4 linked regions of the Drosophila melanogaster genome follow. The protein of the gene in region 2 interacts with the protein of the main gene of each other region in a pairwise test. Each region holds a gene or a part of one and is shown on either strand. Other genes may lie near its edges.

Region 1 (3,122 bases), 8.8 Mb from region 2:
CCGAAGGACAATTGAAGGCAACTGAAGCGGAGAGCTGCTGCACCAAAGGAATGAGGAGGCGCAGCTCTGCGAAATCCCAAACATCTCTCGAACAAAGAAGCATCCCCAAAGCGATGCCCACATACTTACATATATGTAACCGTTTATCATAGATCAAGTATTATGCAGACATTGTTCAGGATGTTCTACTATCTCGTTGTCGCCCACTGAATGTAATTAACGTTGCTTTTTGCCAAATAGTCGTGGCATAGCGTGCTGCACGAACTACATATTATCATTGTTATAGCATACGTATGTATATGCGTTGGGACTGGGCTAAACTCTTCGGAGTGCAGAGCTTCCGATGTCCAGACCCGATTTTATCTGTGTTTTACTACCATAATACATATTATAGACGTCTAAGGCATTAACGCTTTAGCCAACATGAATAAACATAATCAACCACCCGATTCATCGCTGGGTATATCCTAAAACTGACCTTTTTGAATTGGAAGTGCATTTTAGTGGAGTATATACATTTATAAGCTTATTAACTAGGACAAAGAATTCGTAACGATTAATAGGTATATATAGTCCATCGCCTGTTTGGTGGTTACGACTTTGGAATAGAATGGCATTGGCTCACAGGTGAGCGAACTTCAGCACCAGCAAGCCGACGAGTATGCCCACCTCCAGAATGATAATCAGGATTAGGATGATCTTGTTGTAGAGCACCTCCCTGCTCAACTTCCGAATGATGACCCTCGATTTGGACAGATCCTGATCGGCGTCCTCCAGGCGGCGCGTGGTGCGTAGCAGCGACTCCCTCTGCTCGCCCAGTTCGCCGAGTACCTGTTGATGCGTAAGCGAGCATTAGTTAGCCCTGTTAATGGCTACTATCTGGGTAATTACCTCCGCCCCCATGTTCTCCGTTTCGATGGCAATCTGGTTGGATCGCTGGATACTGTCCGTCGTCCGCTGTAGCACGTCGTAGGTGCTGGCCGCGAGCTGCGCCTGCCTGCGCTCCTGGTCGCTGCCGCTGGGCAGCTGGCTATAGCCGGCGTAGGACATAATTTGGTAACAGCTTTTAATAAATTAAATGCGATGCAGTGGGAATATCAAAACAAAACAAAGGCAGAGTGTGGCCGTGGTGAGCGGTGCAGTGAAAACGCTATTTGGTAAGGTACTAACGCGTTGTGCGTGGAGCCACCTGTTAACACTTTATGCACTTTACAGCACTTAAAACAGTTGAAATTTAAAATGAAACTGTTACCAAATTAGCTTAATATTATTTTATATTCTAAATTCTAATTAAAAGTTTAAATTGTAAGAAGTGTTAGTTCAATTGGTTTTTTTTTGAGATTGGCTTCCTCACTATCAACAAGCACATCTAGTTACTGCAAAAATATCACATATTAATGGTGATTAATTGGGTGATCCTAAGAGTGATTAGGTTTTTGGAAACTGACCATTTTTTTGGTAGACACATGTAGCACTCGAGGATTTTGACTTTAGTACGGGTATTTGTCGATTTCTGATTTGCGATAACGGTCACCGATCATACATAGTTGGCATGCCCGCGCCGAGAGAGCCGCCTGAATTCACAGGGTGTGTGTGCTGAGTAACAGAGAGTGCGAGGCATTTCGAGGCGATCGCGAGATTTTCGAACCGAAGTCGCGGCAGCGAGTGCCAAATTTAAACGCAGTCGATCGCTGGCGGTGAGCAGACGTGTGCTGCGCTCCATTCAGATTCAGATTCGAATAAAGATACTCTCGCTCGGCAACAAACAAGTTCTAAATTTATCGCTCGCACTCGCGGGGAATCGAATCTGGTGTGTCTTTGACATAAAAAGCGTTTTCGGAGCTGTGAAGGTAAGCGAAAAACTCGAAAAAACTCGAAGCAACTGGAAAAACCCGGCGGGTTCGAGGTGTAAAAGCTGTGCCACGGGTTATCCACCCGTATATATCCCATATCCCCTGTAAACTAGCCATCCAAAGCACGTGCTTTGGCAGCAGGGAGTATGTGCAATTAAGCCCAATTTGAATGCACTTTGGCACGTGATGCTGGCTGCTGACAGCTACTGGTCGGAAAAGTGAGCTTACTGGGGGCTGCGGGGCACACCTGTCATGGGACCCATTGTGCAAACACCTGCCAGAAGTCGCAGCTAAAGTCAGAGCGGCAGATACGCGTAGCGCTATCTCTTTCGTAAGCCCCGAGTATCTCTGAGATACTCAGGTACGCACCTACTACGTTCGCAGTGTGTGTGTGTGTTAGTCGAACCCTTGTCATGTGAATATAATACTCTCCAGAGTATCTGTGAGTCGCGCTCTCTTTGCAAAGTCGCGAGTTTTCGAGTTTTATGCAATCATCATAATCATATGGGGGGGTTCTATCATGTGATCTTTTTCTCGGGGTCTCGGTTTCCAGAAGCCTTGCGTCCCCACAAAGATCTCCAGCTGGAACGGAAACCCTAAAAGCTGGGCTCGAGTAGTTGCGAATAGCGCACAATAAATACCAGTCGATTATGATTTATGGATCGCTCTATAAATTGTCCAATGGCACTTCCAATCGATCAATCAGTATTGCGCTGATTAGCCACAGTCGCAGACCCAGTTTATGAATGGGGAAAATCTGATCGATTCTAGAAATCTAGCAATTTCACATCTGAAGTATAGTATTTTGCCGAGTTGCACACAAGTGCTCCTGGTCGATCGTCCAGTTAATTAGCTATATAAAGCCAAAGCCCGGCCACTCGAGTCGCCGATCTCCAGTTACGTAACTCTATATGTATGGCTTATCGGGGAAGTGGTCGGCAAACACTGCAAATAATGCTGACTTTGATGGCTTATTTTTCTGTATTCAATAGTATTGCGTAAAGAGGCTATTTATAAGGAGTTGATACTAGCCGATTTATTAGCTGGCTCCTGTTTTACAGCTCTATATAATTTTGAATTCCCCCCATTAGTTCGATAATATATGAGCATAATCATCTTTGTGACGCAATGAAACGGTTTCTTCGCACAGAAGCAGTTGAAGAAAATGAATTGAACTGACAATTGGCGTTAATAAATGATGGTGCGGACTGTTTTTGTTCCTCGATCGCCTCCACTGTGGATTCACATTGAATTGGTTCGGTTATTCGT
Region 2 (4,996 bases):
GGTAGTTCTGATACTTGGACGCTTAATTCCCTGGGAAGATGCCCTGTTGCGCTTCATTAGAATATGTTATTCATTGCTGCGAAGTCTTTCAATGATGTGCCTAGGACGGAAATATGACCACCAGACCGAACCATACCCTTCTGCGCCAATGACCGAATATTCAGCATCGCGGGTGGTCTGTGGAGCCATCCTCTTGCCCACCATATCCATGTACGTGGGTAGAGTTCTTTACAGCTCTGTCGACGATAGATTGCAACAAACTCTTCTTGGGGGATTGACTTTCATAGCGATCAAGGGATTCCTCAAAATGTACCTCATGCATAGCCAATACATCTGTCGTATGAAGCGTCGTGTTTTGGATTACACGAAGGAAAACCTAGCGGAGGCAGACGGACACTAGGTAAACTCAAGATCTGCAAGAGAAGCAAGAAGTAATTTGAATATCTATTTAAATTGTAAAGTGTACAATTTTCCTAAGACTACGTGTCAATAGTGCATTCTTACTACCAATCATAAATAATCGTTAAAGCATTTATTAATTTATGCATAATAGTTTACAGCTAACAGTAGGAAATGGTGTCTAAATGTAATGTACTCCCTAGGATCTCTATGCACGATTGATCGATCCAGCCCCCTCTTTACGGAAGTCAACTCTGTATCGAGGGCGCGATCGTCGAGAACTAAAACTCCAATGTATATTTTAACTATACAAAAAATACTGTATGCCGTGTGTGTGTCCAATGAACTTGGCCGCAACTCAGATGCGGTTAAGTAACTGCGCGCCACCTTAAGTAATCCTCGCCTAACGTCTCACTTCGTTCGGCTTCTGTGCCTGGTTCCTGGAGCTGCGTCGTCCAACAACTCGTTCAGTTGTTGGGCTCCTGCTTGTATTGTTATTGTCGGTTGTTCACCCCCTCGGGATTGTGGCTGCTGACCATGCTGTGCTCCATGTTCTTCACGATCACATAGTTGGTGATGTGGTTGATGGCCTCGTCCTGCAGCCGCTCCGGCCAGCGCTTCATGTACGATTTGATGAAGTCGCCGAACGTGTCCACCTTATCGGGAGTGCTCTTGTGCGTGTCCACGATGTTCTTCACAATGTCCACGAACTTGTCGTAGTCCTCGTGCGACTTCTTGATCTTCTGGTAGTTGGCCACGCCTCCATTGGTGTTGCCCCCACCACCACCACTGCCACCGCTTCCACCGGCAGCCGTGTTCATTTGCTGATCCATGTTGTTATCCGCCAGGCGGGCTGAGGCAGCGGCAGCCACCGCCGCCACGGCCGCCGATGAGGCCATGAAGTTGTCCACGCTGCCGGCATTGGGTGGTGGCTGGGAGTGGTCCATAAAGTGCCGATGCATCCCGTACTCGGTCCTGCAAATCCCAATTGTTATTTAAACATGTTGTGAGGAAGGTGTTCCAATGCTAGTGCTTACTTATAGAACCCCTCCGTGTTGTTACTATTAAACTCTTGCTGAGACATTGGATTCTTCCAAACTGGTGACTCGGATGTGGATGGTAAGCTGCTCGTATTGGACGCACTTGTCATGCGTTTGTCTCTGGAAAATAATAAGATATTTTGTTAGTTTGGGATTGCTATATGGGAAGTATCTATCATATCTCAACCAACTTGTAACCGGTGTGTGCGGCCAGACTCTTAAACACATCATCCACTTGACTGTAGAACTTCCAGGTGCTGATGATGCCTGTGGTCTCAAAGGTCTTCTGCTCCTGCCGGTAGCGCTGCGTTAGATTGTTGACTTTAAAGTGAACCTCGAGTGCGGTAACAGGGACGCCCAGCGAGGTTAGCTGCTTGGCCATTGCCACATACAGATGGCCATTGCGTTTAATGGTGCGCAGCTCATAGGCGCAGACTTTCCATAGTTTGATCAGCTCTAGAACACCACTATCCTCCCATTGTCGGCGCTTTTTGTTGAATTTTTCATACTGCGAATAGGTATACGATTATATTGATGATAAAGCTACTGATTCCAAAGACAACTTACAGGCATTTCACATGGGTCTTACTGCCGACAAATGGGATTGCCCGACAATCTTCGTCTGCCAGCTGATGGAGGACATGAAGCGGTTTATCTAGTGGGCTGGCATACTGTACACGGATTCGCTCCTGAAATAAATCAAATGATTAGTTAACGTGCAGGTGTCGTTGTTTACTATTTGTATTGTTAGACGTATTAATATTGCAATCCCTATGAGTTTCAGGGATTTCTTAAAAAGTGCACACCACACGTAAATAAACAACCGAACATATGGTCAGCCACCTATTTGATGACTATTTAATTGAATTGAAATGGTAATTAATCTTTTGTAGCCTAATACCTTCCCACAAAAAGGGTTACGAATGATTGCATTTCATAGTTAACTTAGTTCTCGCGGCAATTAAAGGGTATAATGTTGTAATACACATAAAATTCTATTATATTGCAGCAGAGTTTGGATTCATAGAAATATTTATGTATTTTTAAGCTCCTAGAAGGACTCATTCCCTAGTTGTCATGGGTATTAATTACTATACGATATAATTATGCACAATTTGAAGTTCTATTTATATTCACTAATTAATTTCAGCTTAAACTTTTAAAACGCAAGTATTTTTAACAATTCTTATCACAGGAAACAAAATGTTATAGGAACTGTTTTAAATTTGGCATCCAATGATTTTAAAATGGGTTATTGTCGCTTCCGTGTTGTTTGTACCGTAATCCCATTGGCTAACAACCCATTTTCTGGCACTAAAGGGTATTTACTAGTCGGTGTACTTTGTCTATTTTCTAGCTTTCAATTATCATTAAGCCGGCTCACACACACCGACGCAGCTCAGCCGCTCCCGCACAAACACACACGCATGCAATGCAAATCGAACGGTAAACGGTAAACAAATATTAATTGTGCGAGCGAAACAAGTTGCGATATGCATGCAGCAGCTGCGGCAGCAGCAGAAGATGAGAAGTGGATGCGGCGACGTTTGGAATCGAAGTGAAGCGGTAACTCAAGTGTAGAAGGGAGTTGGGCTCAGATGCGGATGAAGATGCTCCGCCGACGTCGACGGCGACGGCGGCTGCGGGATAGCAGCATTGGAGCCAATGTACATATATGTAAGTTCGCGGGGGGTGAGAGGTTACTTTTCTCGAATACACACACGCACACACTTTTCCCATTTCAGAGATACACACACTCACATCGCATCCACATCCGATTTTCTTGCGTTGATTGCGTTCTATTGTTACGTTTTTCGCTTTGCTCCATGCAACAACGGGCGAAACAACAACACTACGACGCCAACAGCGTGGGCACAAAACTTAATAATAAGTCAAATAATTAAATTTTAATTATCTTCAAGAGGGAAACACACGAAAAACGTAGTTTGTAGCTCCTACGCTGCGCAGCTCTCGCAATTCGACTCTATAATGATGTTCTCGGCGTGAGCGAGACAGCATGGCATGGCAAGAGCAACATGGTGTGAGCGGTGCGGCTAGTGTGACATGGCGTTGCCAGACAGTCGCCAGTGCAGTGCGTTGGGGTTTCGAACAGCGCCAAAAGGTGGGAAATTGAAAATGTTTATTGCGGCTTTAGGCCAATAGAACCAAGTCATCTGCCATTTATCGTGCTCAATACAGTACTTTTACTTCAATCTCGGCTCGTTAGGGCGCAACAAAGCAAGCGCATTTCATCGCTCATCATCATCATCACCACCACCTACTCCCGCCTCCCTTCAACAAATCGCTTTTCTTGGAGCATAATGCACACACACACTGGCACAGTCACACCGACACGTATGTGCCGGTCATCATCATCATCATTAGGTTGTGCGATGGAGCAACAACAACAACAACAAAAGCAAACGTCATTAGCGGGCTAAATAACAAAAAATGATAATGTCGCTGCTGCCACAAAGTCGTCGTCAGTTGGCTTTGCTTGTGGGGTAATCATCATTAAATTGCACATCGTCTCGATGAAAAAGTGCTGGCGGGGCGGGGCGATAGGCGATGGGGGTGGGGCAAGGCAGAGGAAGAAGAAATTGGGGGAAGCGAAATCCCAATAACAAGGTCACCAAATATTCAAAAATCTACGAACCTAGCCAACTATATAAATAGTAAACTTTGAGATAATTAATAATAGACATACAAACTAATGTTGTTTATTTGTATTTTGAAAAATATATTACGTAAATTTCTAGTTATTGACACATATTTTTACTTTCAAATAGGTTTTAGTTGAATATCAATCTATTTTCATTCTCCCTAAATATATTATTATAAACAATTATGTTCTTCAGTGTTTACAAATTTCTATATTGCAAATATGTATCTTTTTCTTTTGTTACTAAGTACAGATTGTTTAGGAATACAAAATGAATATGTCATCATCTTCAAGAACTTGACATTTTAATAGCTACAACATCATCGTGCAGCCCCCACCTTTTATCATTTCTATAAACAATAATGGTCAGCTTAATAGTTACCCTTAAAATCAAATCATATTAAACTATTATATGTATAGTACAATACTTATCTTAATTTATTGTGCAACATTTTTAATATAATTTTAAGATGGCACCTCTCTTATATAACTGTTATTTTAGTGAATTTATTTTAATGAATCATTAGCTAAAATATATTTTTAATGGTAAATGCATGCTAGTGTTTAAAATGTATTATTACTTTTACTTAAGTATATTTCACTATTTTCCAAACTTGTGACTATTGCACTAACCTCAAGTGTACGCATTACTACTACATATTTGCCCCCTCATACTCAGCTTACCCACATTCTCCATATTCGCCGGTCATCATCATTAGGTTGTGAGGCGCCGAGAGCATCAGCTCCCAAATGCGAACGTCATTAGTGGCGGGAAAAGAGCAGCAAGGAGCACCCATAACGCTATCATCGGCAATCATCATTAGGTGGGGCGAAATCGCCCGGAGAAGCTGCGCAGGATTCCATTGAGAAGTGAGGCAGATGGGTGGCAGTAGCG
Region 3 (5,101 bases), on a different chromosome or scaffold from region 2:
TGTTCATATTCGATCTTGGTGCCGCCGTTGGCGATGTCAAGTGGGCACCTTACTCGAGCACCGTCTTCGCAGCGGTGACCACCGAGGGCAAGGTCCACGTTTTCGACCTAAATGTGAATAAGTACAAGGCCATCTGCATCCAGGCCGTGGTGCCCAAGCGAAAGAACAAGCTCACCAGGTTATCCTTCAACGAGAAGCTCGCCTTCATTGTGGTGGGCGATGAGAAGTAAGCACCATACCAAGTATTCAATCTATATAGGCAATATATATTTATATATTCCAATTTCTGTCTTTAGGGGCGTCACCACTTCGCTGAAGCTATCGCCCAATCTCCGGATGATGGTGAAGCCGCCGAAGAAGCAGCTGTATCTCGACCAGAACACCCTCCAGATTGGCAAGTTGGAGAAGCTGCTTTCCCTGGTGCGGGAACTTCCGGAAGGTTCAACTGCGGTGCCCGATGCAGCCACAACCGTGCGAAGTTAAATCCCAACTTTTAACCAATTCCAGAAACACACTGTTTTCAGAGTTGATGTATTATATTTTACACATATAGATTATCTGCTGGTTCTGAAAGAATCCTGATTCATCCGTCTTGTGTTACGCTATGTTTCTATCCATCTAACAAAAATTTGCTATCAACCAACAAAAGGAACTTAGAAGCAATGTATATATAGTCACAAAATTGTATATATGCTTAAAAACGAAATAAATTATAGAAACAACTACGATCAAATCCGTTTTTAAGTAGTTTTTGTAGATCTTAGGATCATAAGAAGATTAGGATACATTATAATGCTAGTTGAAAACATTGTACTTTAAAAATGATATTTCATATAAATGAAATTTGTAGGGATTGTTCGTTCAGTCGGATGTTTAGTATATTGATTTTAAAACAACATTAATATCAAGAATCTGAACTAATAGCTTACTTTAATTGGCTGCATCCTATAATTCCTTAATAATCACGATTTCGTTTAGCAAAAAAAAATTAAAATATCCTTTTCACAGACATTTTGTGTTTTTTAAAACTATATTTTTAAATAAAGCTGCCTCAATCCTCATCCGCATCCAAGTCGGCGGACTTCACCCGGATGCGCTTCTCCTCCAGATACTCCAGTACATTGTTTGGGCACATAACGCTCTTGCCCAGAAAGAGCACCGTGGACATCGGATGCAGGTAGTCCGCCGAGAAGCTTCTGGCCTTCCAGCCGAAGAAGCCACTGGCCTTCGCCTCCGTTCCACTGATGGAATAGGGCAGTAGGTTGACGCCCACCTGGTTGGGCTTTGAGAACTGGACGCGGAAATGATGGCCATCGGTGGCCTTAATCCAATAGAAACCCTCGTTGTCCACATAGGGCTTGCTCTGCGACTTCTTCATCGCATTGGATCGCTCCAGGTCCTGGACATTGAAGCTAATGTCGATGTCGTAGGCATCCGGAGACAGGTGATTGGTTTCGATGGCGCTCTGCAGGGCTCGGTTGTCCAGCCAGTAGCGTATGCCCACGTTCTCGAACTCCTCCAGCACATGGTTGAAGGTCGTCCTCAGCTTGTCCAGGCAGCACGGTGGCGTATGCTTGCCCAGGTAGGAGTAGTACGGTCTCTCGTTATAGACACTGCCTATGCAGGACTTGGTGGTCCGCTCGCAGCCGAACAGATCGATGTCGGTGATCAGGGGCAGCGAGGTGTTCGAGGACGAGAACTGACCATCCAGGACCAAGCCGTGACCCTGACCCCAAACCTCCCGGGCCTGAGCCTTTCCTGGCACTCTGTATGCCCTTCTCACGATCCGCTTGATCTGCAGTTTCTTGTACATCTCACGGAACTGCCGACGGCGCAGGTCCATCCTCCGCTGTTTGGTGTGAAAGGAGGCGAATAGACGCCGTCCCTCTTGAAAGGCTTGCGGGAACACCGTGGTCTGGACAGGATTTCAGTTGTTATTGGTGCTGGGAAACAAGCATAAAAAAGTACTCACCGAGAGATTGGCTATCTTGGCCTGCATGTAGAGCATTTCCGGAAAGGGCAGGGAGAAGGGCTCGGGCATGGCTGCCAGAGCAGCTGCATCCAACAGGATTGCGTGCTTCTGCAGGAACTGTTAAGAACATACATTATTTTTGCAACTTATAAACCATATCCCTGAATTTTACCCACCAAATCACATCGTCTCGTATCGTTGGTTGCCACCAGCTCCAGTGTCCAGTCGGGCAAATCCAGGTTCATCTTGACGCAGCTGCTGAAGGACTTCAGATTGCCGGCGAAGGGTACTAGCACCATGCGTCGCACCAACTGCTCCGGCGGCACTGGAGGTCGCTGCTCCTTGGGCTGACCCGGCAGGCCCATGGAGTTGATCTCGCGCAGAATCTTCTGCAGGATGTTCTTGCTGTTCAGCCGCACGCCGTCCGGCATGATGAGAGCGTATTTGGTCCGAATGGACGCCAAGGGATTCAGCTCCTGCCGCGTTCGCCGCACATCGAAGGACAGACTCTGGAATAGCACGGTGCGCTCCTCGCCGGCGGTTAGGTTCCGTTCGTAGTTGACCGGCGGATAGGCGTACTCGGCACCGCCATCCTGAAGCACCAGGATGGGCATGTTGGGTATCACGTCCAGGATGCTGTCGATCGATGCCTTCAGATCCTGCTCAAAGTTGTAGTGGCCATAGAACACGATGGTGATGGACTTGCGTATGTGTTTGTTGGCATTGCGCAGCTTCTCCTTGGGCGACAGCTTGGCGGCCTTTGGCGGTTCCTCTGCCGGCTGAGATTCACCGGACAGAGCCCTACTTATCCGCCGCCAGAGCAGCGTGTTCCACGTGTAATAGAGAAACACCAGATTGGCCAGCAGAAATCCGAGCAGCAGCAGCTTGACCAGACGCAGTCGGAACACCTTCATGGCGAGTGTGCAGGATGTGCTCGCGATTCGCTAGATTCTGATGTTGTGTGTATCTGTATCTGTTTGTCCACCCGGGTATCTACACTGCAACTACATGACCGCGTTCTTCATCAGCACATCCTTCCAAGGATGATTGTTGCTCATACTCAATGTGCAATTGGCTTGACTGAAGGACTCATTTAACTTTTTATTTTCCGCTTTTCGAGAACTTTGTTTTTGTGCCTATTCCTTTTTCTTCGGCTATGCGCAAATACCGATTTCCTACCCCGCGGAAAAGCGCTTTCAGCTCGAACAGCTGATGGCGCCGGAGCTGGAAAAACGGATGAAAAGCTTCCTCCCAGGATATGTGACCGTATATCATGCCATTTTTAAGAGCTTTCCACTACGCTTTTCCCGCGCAAAAAGGACAAAATCATTTTTTTTTTTGTAAAACATTAAAAGCGATTGTTCTCTTTAATTCAATACAGTATAAAATATTTTTCTGAGAAAATGTTTATCAGGTAAGTGTGCTTAATGAAGTTATTGTAGTTTTCTCCACACAAACATTAAATTTTCGAATAAAATTGTGGATGGGACATCTGTGAGACCCTTCAAATAATACTGACTTTTAAGCGATCAAAACTAGAATGACTACTTTCCCATGCCGGCGAAGAGCAGCGGGAAGGGCACCTCATCGGTGGTCAGGATCTGCGGAGTCGGAGGACGCGCCTCGCCCTCGGAGGTGCTATTCAGCCAGTAGGTGGTGACCGTGCCCTTGCCCTTTAGCTCGACATCGCCGCGCTGCTCCATTTGGAAGGTGCCGAACTTGTCCAGGATGGCCTTGGTGGCCGAGGACACATGTATCTTGCCCGGCTGGCCAGTGCTCTCCATTCTCGACGCCGTGTTGACCGTGTCGCCAAACAAACAGTAGTGCGGCATCTTCTTGCCCACGACTCCGGCGCACACGGAACCCGAATGCATCCCAATGCGAATCTGTATCTTGTATTCCGGTTTATGGCGGAGATTGAAGGAGCTGACTGCTCGTAGGATGTCCAGGGCCATTAGAGCAATCTCGCGGGCATGCTTGTCACCATTGGGCTCCGGCAATCCAGAAACCACCAGATAGGCATCACCAATCGTTTCCACTTTGTAGACGTCGTAGAAGCCAATGATTCGGTCAAATGTGCTATACAAGTCATTCAGGAAGTTGACCACGTCCATGGGACTGCTACGGGCGCACAGTTCGGTGAAGCCAACGATGTCACTAAAGTATATGGTCACGCTGCTGAACTCCTCCGGCTCCACAAGATCGCCGGCCATCAGTTGCTGGGCCACAGGACGCGGCAGGATTTGGTAGAGCAGCTCCTCCGTACGCTGCTTTTCCAGGCTCAACTGGCGGGTTTTCTCCTCCACGAGACTCTCGAGATTGTTGGCATACTGCTCCATGCGATTCAGTAGATCATCCATTAGATTCTCACAGAAGCCTCTGCAGGTGTTTAAAATTGCTTATAACTAAGATACCAAGATAAGATACCAAGGACACTTACTTCATTATGGTGCGAATATTACTGCGTATGGTGGAGAAAGTGGGCCGCTCCTCCTGATTGTCTGCCCAGCACTTCTCCATTAGCTCCAGCAGATCAGGTGGACACTCGCGTTCTCTGATGAGCGGACGGAATCCATTGCACTGGCGCACCTTGTGCAGGATCGTGTGAACGTCCATCTGCTGGCGCGCCTCCTGGTAGGGTCCACCACGGTTGACGATCTCCTCCAGAATAATGCCAAAGGAGTACACATCGCCGCGCTGCGTGGCTGGACAGCAACCAGGTATGGTGGTCAGTGGAAGCAGTTCGGGAGCAATCCACAAGAGCTCTGCAATAATATGCACCACTCAGTAAAAGGAAACTGATTTGATGTCTTTGGAACTCACTGAGGTAGTAGTTCTGATCCCGCACAAAATCAGAGGGCGTGGTCAGCGTTCTCAGTCCAAAGTCGGAGATCTTGAGAACGAATCGTCCGTCTATCAGGCAATTGCAAGACCTCAGCTTTCCATGGGCAGCCACATCGCTATTGTGCAGATAGTTCATGCCCTTGACAATGTCGTGGATGAGAGACATGCGAAAGTTCCAGTCCAACTCGATGGCCTCGTTCTCCAGCACATCCTTCAGACTGCCCCTCGAGCAATATTCGGTGAGGATGAGCACGGTGGGTCGCGGCAGATCGATGCAGGCGCCCA
Region 4 (6,121 bases), on a different chromosome or scaffold from region 2:
GATAAGATCCTGGACTCTGCCAATTCGGTCGTGGAGAGCCTGGCGGCGGCAGATGAATCCCAGGGTAAAGCCAAGGATGCCATTCAGCAGGCGAACAGTAACATTGAGTTGGCCGGTCAGGATCTGGAGAAGATCGATGAGGAAACGTATTCCGCCGAAGCTCCGGCCAATAACACAGCACAGCAGGTTGAGAAATTGGCCAAGAAAGTGCAGAAACTGCAGAATAACATAATGAAGAACGATCGGGATGCCAAGGAGATAACCAAGGAAGCGGGTAGCGTCAAACTGGAGGCCATGAGGGCTCGCGGAGAGGCCAATAATCTTCAGTCTGCCACAAGTGCCACCAATCAGACCCTCACCGATCGCGCCAGTCGCTCCGAAAATGCCAGGGAAAGGGCCAAGCAGCTGCTCCAGAGGGCCTCCAAACTAACAGTCGATACGAACGCCAAGCTAAAGGATCTGAACGATCTGCAGACCGTCTATCTGAACAAGAACCAACAACTACTGCGATTGCAGGCCGAGATCGGCCCCTTGAACAAGGAGCTCAACGAGCACCTGATTCACATCAAGGAGCGGGGGTCGCACTACAGGCAGTGCTATACGTAGATTGGGAAACGTAAGTAATGCAGTTTTAATACTATTACAAGCAAATAACTAAAATCAGTAATATTTTTTAGATCCATTTGCGTGGCCATCTAAATTGCCATATTCATGAACAAATAAGCAAATTGCGAAATACGAGAATCAAGTAAAGAACTACAAGAACAACTAGGAAGGCGACAGTTATTATGTAACCACTGTTAAGTTACCGTTACGTTTTGTACTCTAAGCGAAAACCAACACTGCAATGTTAATTTTAAAAATTGAGCGAAAGAAATCGATGCCTTCACTTTTAATGTGTACACACTGAGCTAAGTTTTTCTTATACTATCCCTATACCATTTTGTAATGCAATTAATGTAATTAAATAAAACTACTTAAATGTGGAAATGTCTAGCATTTGTTTGGGCTCGATCGGGAGAGGAATGAGATAATGGTCATTTAAATGGAGAGCGACAGGTGAGAGTATTTTTGCAACACAGTTCTATTTCCCAACAATAAATCTTTTTCGCTGAACAAATGCAACTACTTTTAAGTATAATAACAGAAATATATTATTTACAAACGTTGAATAAAACAATATTAATAACGTTGGAAATGAAGCCTAAAAGCTTAATATAGATAAAAAGTATTTAAACAGAAGTTTGTTGGAGTTCAAATATATACAAAAATTCGGCTTATGCTATTTTCACTGTACTTCGATTTCTATACTATTGTATACTTATGCTGCCATAAACATTGCCAATTTATTCCATTTTCCGTTTTGTTTTAGTTCTTCTGCGCGTCGCGTGCGGCTTGTTTTTGTTTTTAATTTTCGTCCAAATAATTTTCCACATTTTTTTTTCGGGGGCCAGAGGTTCTTTTAAAACCGGAAGTTGTTACGAATGGATCACCGTTACAGAAGATCGTTAAGGAGCTCAGCAGGTATTTAATAACAATTAAAAAATTAATAATGCAGTTGGCACAGTTGCAGAGAAGCCCACTTCAAGCACAAAGGTCAAGGTAATGCAAAAAATGCAAAAGTGCTTGAAATCATGCAATTTCTAGTTATCCCTGCCTGCTCGAAAATCACTAAAGTTTTGCATGAAAAGAGTACCCCTGCTGGCTATCGATAAGAGTTATCGCTTCGGCCCCTATCGATATTTCAAAAGTTCATCAATTTCAGCTGAAATCTCAACAAGTGCAAGTTTCGAGCTCTGTTTTAATTAAACACAGACGTGTCGCCGAACAAGTCGGCATTGTTTGGATCGGTTTTCAGGTTGCAGTGCGTGAAAATATATATATATTTTTTATTTATTTATTGCGACATCCGTGCGGCCACTCACACACACAGGCGCGATTGACAGATGTGCGACGTGCATACGTATAAAGAGCACACACTCGCACACACGCACGCAGTGCGGATGTTCTGATTTTATGCAAGAAACTGAGTTTATTTTTAAAATAAGAAGAACATCCGAAAATATAATGCCAACGAAAGGCGACGGGCGAGCGACAAAAGAGCGTTTGTAAGCGCAGAAAAAAGGGACACGGCGAAAAGGAACGGGGACGGACGATAAACCAAAATAACGGGAACATCGGCGGCGGTGGAAAATTCAGAAAATAAGAAAATCAAAACAAAAGCAAAATAAAACGACATCTGACGTGCAGCTTCAAGTGCTTTGCCCCCAGAGTACGTTTTCCCCAAATGGACTGGGTTTTTCATTTTGCGAGCAATCTGCAATCTTTCCCATTCAATTGAGGTCGCGTCGGAATCTGCATAAGTGCATAAAAAAAAATAGTAAAAATTTTAAAAATTCTGAATTCGAAACAAATAATTTCATACAGTTTTCTGAAAAGCTTTTAAAGTTGATCAATATATTGTTACCGTTAAAATTTTTATAAAAAGATATCGTTTTTATTAATAAATTAATCGCATTCATTTTAAATTATTAATCAACAGTGTAATAAACTATTTGCTATAATACTAAAACTTGCGTTCAACTACATATAAAAATAATTTAAAATTTTAACATTATAAAATGTTTTTCGAAATGATCTTAAGCAGAGTTCTTTGAAACCATAAAGTAAATAATGATCTCAGACATCGAAAAATGGGAAATTATATTACTTCCGATTCCGTCCGAGTCTGAGAGAATTTAAACGGGAAAGTCTTGCATATTAAAATGCCCAACCCCTTTGTTGTTTACTTTAATTTCGTTTTTTATTCCTTGCATATACACCCACTGACACCCACATCAACATTTACCGCTGACAGTTTCGCATGCGATTTGCTTGAAACACATTGACAGAGCCGAAATCAAGCGCCAGCAGAGTATACAGATAGCCCGGCATTTCCCATGGACGACGAACTGGAAGACAAGGTGTTCTATCAGACATACGTATCGCACATGAAAATCCTGTCCAAATTTGCGGTGGGCTTCTCGTCCATCAACTCCCCGCTGGCCTACATATGGAAGCTGTGCCGACTGTATGTCCTTCGGCCGGAGGTCATCTTCTGCGGCTTGATCCTCTTCGTCCTGTTGCTCTATTTGCAAGCGGTAGATGTGTGGAGTCGCAGCATCCTGGGACGCATCCAGGCAACCCTCGGTCGCCAGAAGGCCGTCAAGATGATGGAGCTGTCGGCCAGTGCTGGTGATCACCAGAGCTGGGAGGAGATGAAGCAGCAGAGCTCGGCCTTCGCGGTCCTGGGACGCAGGCCAAGAATGGAGGATAGGTTCGTATGAAGTCACAATTCCCAGGGATAAACTATATTGTAGATAGCACTTACATAGTAGCTGAAATATACAAAGATCTGTCACGATCGACAGCATTTTAGGATTTACAAATTGGCTAAGAGTGTTTTTATTAGATTTAAATGATCTATTGAGGAATAAATTCTTGGCAACACTCATTTTCATTCATTAAATAGCATTGCAACACTTTATAGCTATATAAATCTTTTCCATATGTCAAATTTAGACTAGATAATAATAATTTGGGTCTTTAGAAACAACTTAGTGACATCTCTATTCAAATGTACACATTCCAAGAAACTAAAGACTAAAGACTTTTATTTACATCTTAGGTTTATTATCGAGGAGAACATCAACAACAACACTGGTATCTCCTTCTTTGCCGTATTTGACGGTCATGGCGGCGAGTTTGCCGCAGACTTCGCCAAGGATGTGCTGGTGAAGAACATCTACAATAAGATCATCGAGATGTCCAAGCTTCTGAAGACGGAAGGAAATTCCGGAGATTACGATAAGAGTCCCTATTTAGCGCGCAAGCAGAGTCGCAAGGATGCAAACAAGGAGAACACAGAACCGACGGCAGGGGTGATGCGAAAGGATAGTCTAAGGAAGGCCCACAGCACCACGGCGGATTGTAGTGCTATTAAGCAAAAGACAACCGAGGCATCCATTGCCGACATCTACACAGTCCAATTAAACTCGGCGATGAGAGCCAGTGGGAATTTGGGAGCCGCCAAGGATTCCTTCCTCAACAACAACAACAACGGACAGAACGGAGCAGCCAATGCGCCACCTCCAAACTACGAAGCCAAGTGCTACATCGAACACGGACGTATTAACTTTGGTAAACTGATCACGGACGAGATCATGTCGGCCGACTACAAGCTTGTGGAGCAGGCCAAGAGAGCGGTAAGGGAACCTCTTTTTACTTAATCTTAAGAGACAATTCTAACTGATCTTAATTGCAGACCAACATTGCGGGAACCACCGCTCTAATAGCGATAGTTCAGGGCTCAAAGCTGATTGTGGCCAATGTGGGCGACTCCCGCGGAGTCATGTACGACTGGCGTGGAATCGCCATACCGCTTTCATTCGATCACAAGCCGCAGCAAGTGCGAGAACGAAAGAGAATCCACGATGCAGGCGGATTCATCGCCTTCCGAGGCGTTTGGCGTGTGGCCGGGGTGTTGGCCACGTCACGTGCTCTAGGGGACTATCCGCTTAAAGATAAGGTGGGAAAAATGGGATGGTTCCAACGAGTTACTAACGAGGCTAATCTTGACACTATTTTTAACCACACGCTTACAGAATCTGGTGATTGCTACGCCGGACATTTTGACCTTCGAACTAAACGATCACAAGTGAGTGAACAACACTTTGCAACAACAATCCAAACGACCATTTGATAGTTGTAAAGTGCATTACATTAGACCTGTATTTAATGAAATACTTTCTTATAGACCCCATTTTCTGATACTGGCATCCGATGGGCTGTGGGACACGTTCAGCAATGAGGAGGCCTGCACTTTTGCGTTGGAGCATCTGAAAGAGCCGGACTTTGGCGCCAAATCACTTGCCATGGAGTCGTATAAACGTGGCTCCGTGGACAACATCACCGTGCTGGTGATCGTCTTCAAGAACGATGTCTACAAGATTGGCAGCTCAGCGGGAAAAGCGGGAGAAGAATCCCTAAAAGTCCCAGCCAAATCTCAACCAGTTGCGCCTGCAGTTGTGCAACGCTCGAATTCAATCAAAACCAAATGAAAAACGATAGATAAGAGTGCCTGCTAAGAAATGCTCTTCAGCTTTTCTCCTAAAAATTTCCTTCTCCCCAAGAAAAACAAACGAAAGTGCCCGAATTTTTCTAGTTAGGCATTTTGCTAAATACCTTTTGACCTTTTTGTTACTTGTCCAAAGGCAGCGTTCATTCATCCCATTACAGACATGCATACACATTCATCACTCGAAAATGCGTTCATCATTTGTCTTAATATTAAGGTTGTTTGTTAGTCAATGTTGTTTTGTTTAAACAAAATATGTTTGCATCCGCCGCCACATTGCCGTGCACTCCGTTTTTCCAATTCGCACACGAAAATCATCACAGTCACTGACTCAGTCAGGGTAACATCATCACGTAACTATTTATTTAATTTATTTGTTATACGTGTAAAAGAAAACATTTTCTAAATGTCGAAATGTTTTTACGAATAAAACAATGCATACGAAACGAGAACATTTCGTTTTGCTACTTAAATTCAATTTCTAATTGTTTTTCTCAACATTATTCGTTTTGGATTTCAATGAAATGATCTGGTTTGTAGTTTAGGGATTAAAAACATCCACTTTCGATTAAAGTTTATATAAAATGTTTTCTTTATTAACATTTACTTATCTTCTGCCTAAACTAAATTGTCCCACTGTTTATACTATTCCCATCTATCCGGAGAAAACTCTATAGCCCAAAGCCTAAAGTTAAAACTAATTCAGCCGCTACAAGATACACAAATTTCAGTTAAGGACGCTTAAATTTTATTTTTGTTTTAGCTAAACAAATTTGACGCCCGTTACAAAGGTCAGTAGCTTAGTGAGCCGAAACAGACACCTGCCAGACGCGGATGGTGTTGTCGGAGTAGCCGGCGAACAGAGTCTGGCCGTCGGTGGACCAGGCCAGGGACAGGCACTGGGGCTGATCGGCCTTCGACGTGGGCGAAACGACCTCGGGGCGCAGCTCCTCAACGGTCTTCTTGCATGCCAGATCCCAGATCTTGATCGAGGGTCCGTAGGCC

What was found.
Region 1: the proteins of CG18766 (region 2) and Vti1b interact in a two-hybrid assay, tested with the Drosophila melanogaster proteins (one large-scale study listed by BioGRID).
Region 3: the proteins of CG18766 (region 2) and CG15651 interact in a two-hybrid assay, tested with the Drosophila melanogaster proteins (one large-scale study listed by BioGRID).
Region 4: the proteins of CG18766 (region 2) and CG7115 interact in a two-hybrid assay, tested with the Drosophila melanogaster proteins (one large-scale study listed by BioGRID).

What each region holds. Positions count from the first base shown.
Region 1 is NT_033777.3:18,397,720-18,400,841, reverse strand, and holds Vti1b (vesicle transport through interaction with t-SNAREs 1b), read right to left. Parts: upstream 1,134-3,122; 5' UTR 1,051-1,133; coding exon 892-1,050; intron 832-891; coding exon 622-831; 3' UTR 503-621; downstream 1-502. Other genes in the region: Wdr37 (WD repeat domain 37), read left to right, coding at 1-15.
Region 2 is NT_033777.3:27,241,817-27,246,812, forward strand, and holds CG18766 (uncharacterized protein), read right to left. Parts: upstream 3,434-4,996; 5' UTR 3,374-3,433; exon of another isoform or gene 3,201-3,373; intron 3,003-3,200; exon of another isoform or gene 2,830-3,002; intron 2,129-2,829; 5' UTR 2,013-2,128; coding exon 2,007-2,012; intron 1,948-2,006; coding exon 1,631-1,947; intron 1,560-1,630; coding exon 1,437-1,559; intron 1,375-1,436; coding exon 894-1,374; 3' UTR 519-893; downstream 1-518. Other genes in the region: CG17991 (uncharacterized protein), read left to right, coding at 1-400.
Region 3 is NT_033778.4:20,983,317-20,988,417, forward strand, and holds CG15651 (uncharacterized protein), read right to left. Parts: upstream 3,185-5,101; 5' UTR 2,887-3,184; coding exon 2,149-2,886; intron 2,090-2,148; coding exon 1,973-2,089; intron 1,916-1,972; coding exon 1,052-1,915; 3' UTR 522-1,051; downstream 1-521. Other genes in the region: CG9313 (uncharacterized protein), read left to right, coding at 1-226, 297-483; CG3216 (uncharacterized protein), read right to left, coding at 3,517-4,351, 4,413-4,737, 4,796-5,101.
Region 4 is NT_033779.5:7,819,785-7,825,905, forward strand, and holds CG7115 (uncharacterized protein), read left to right. Parts: upstream 1-1,750; 5' UTR 1,751-2,272; intron 2,273-2,857; 5' UTR 2,858-2,939; coding exon 2,940-3,316; intron 3,317-3,667; coding exon 3,668-4,244; intron 4,245-4,303; coding exon 4,304-4,567; intron 4,568-4,643; coding exon 4,644-4,696; intron 4,697-4,795; coding exon 4,796-5,099; 3' UTR 5,100-5,566; downstream 5,567-6,121. Other genes in the region: LanB1, read left to right, coding at 1-606; Rack1 (receptor of activated protein kinase C 1), read right to left, coding at 5,917-6,121.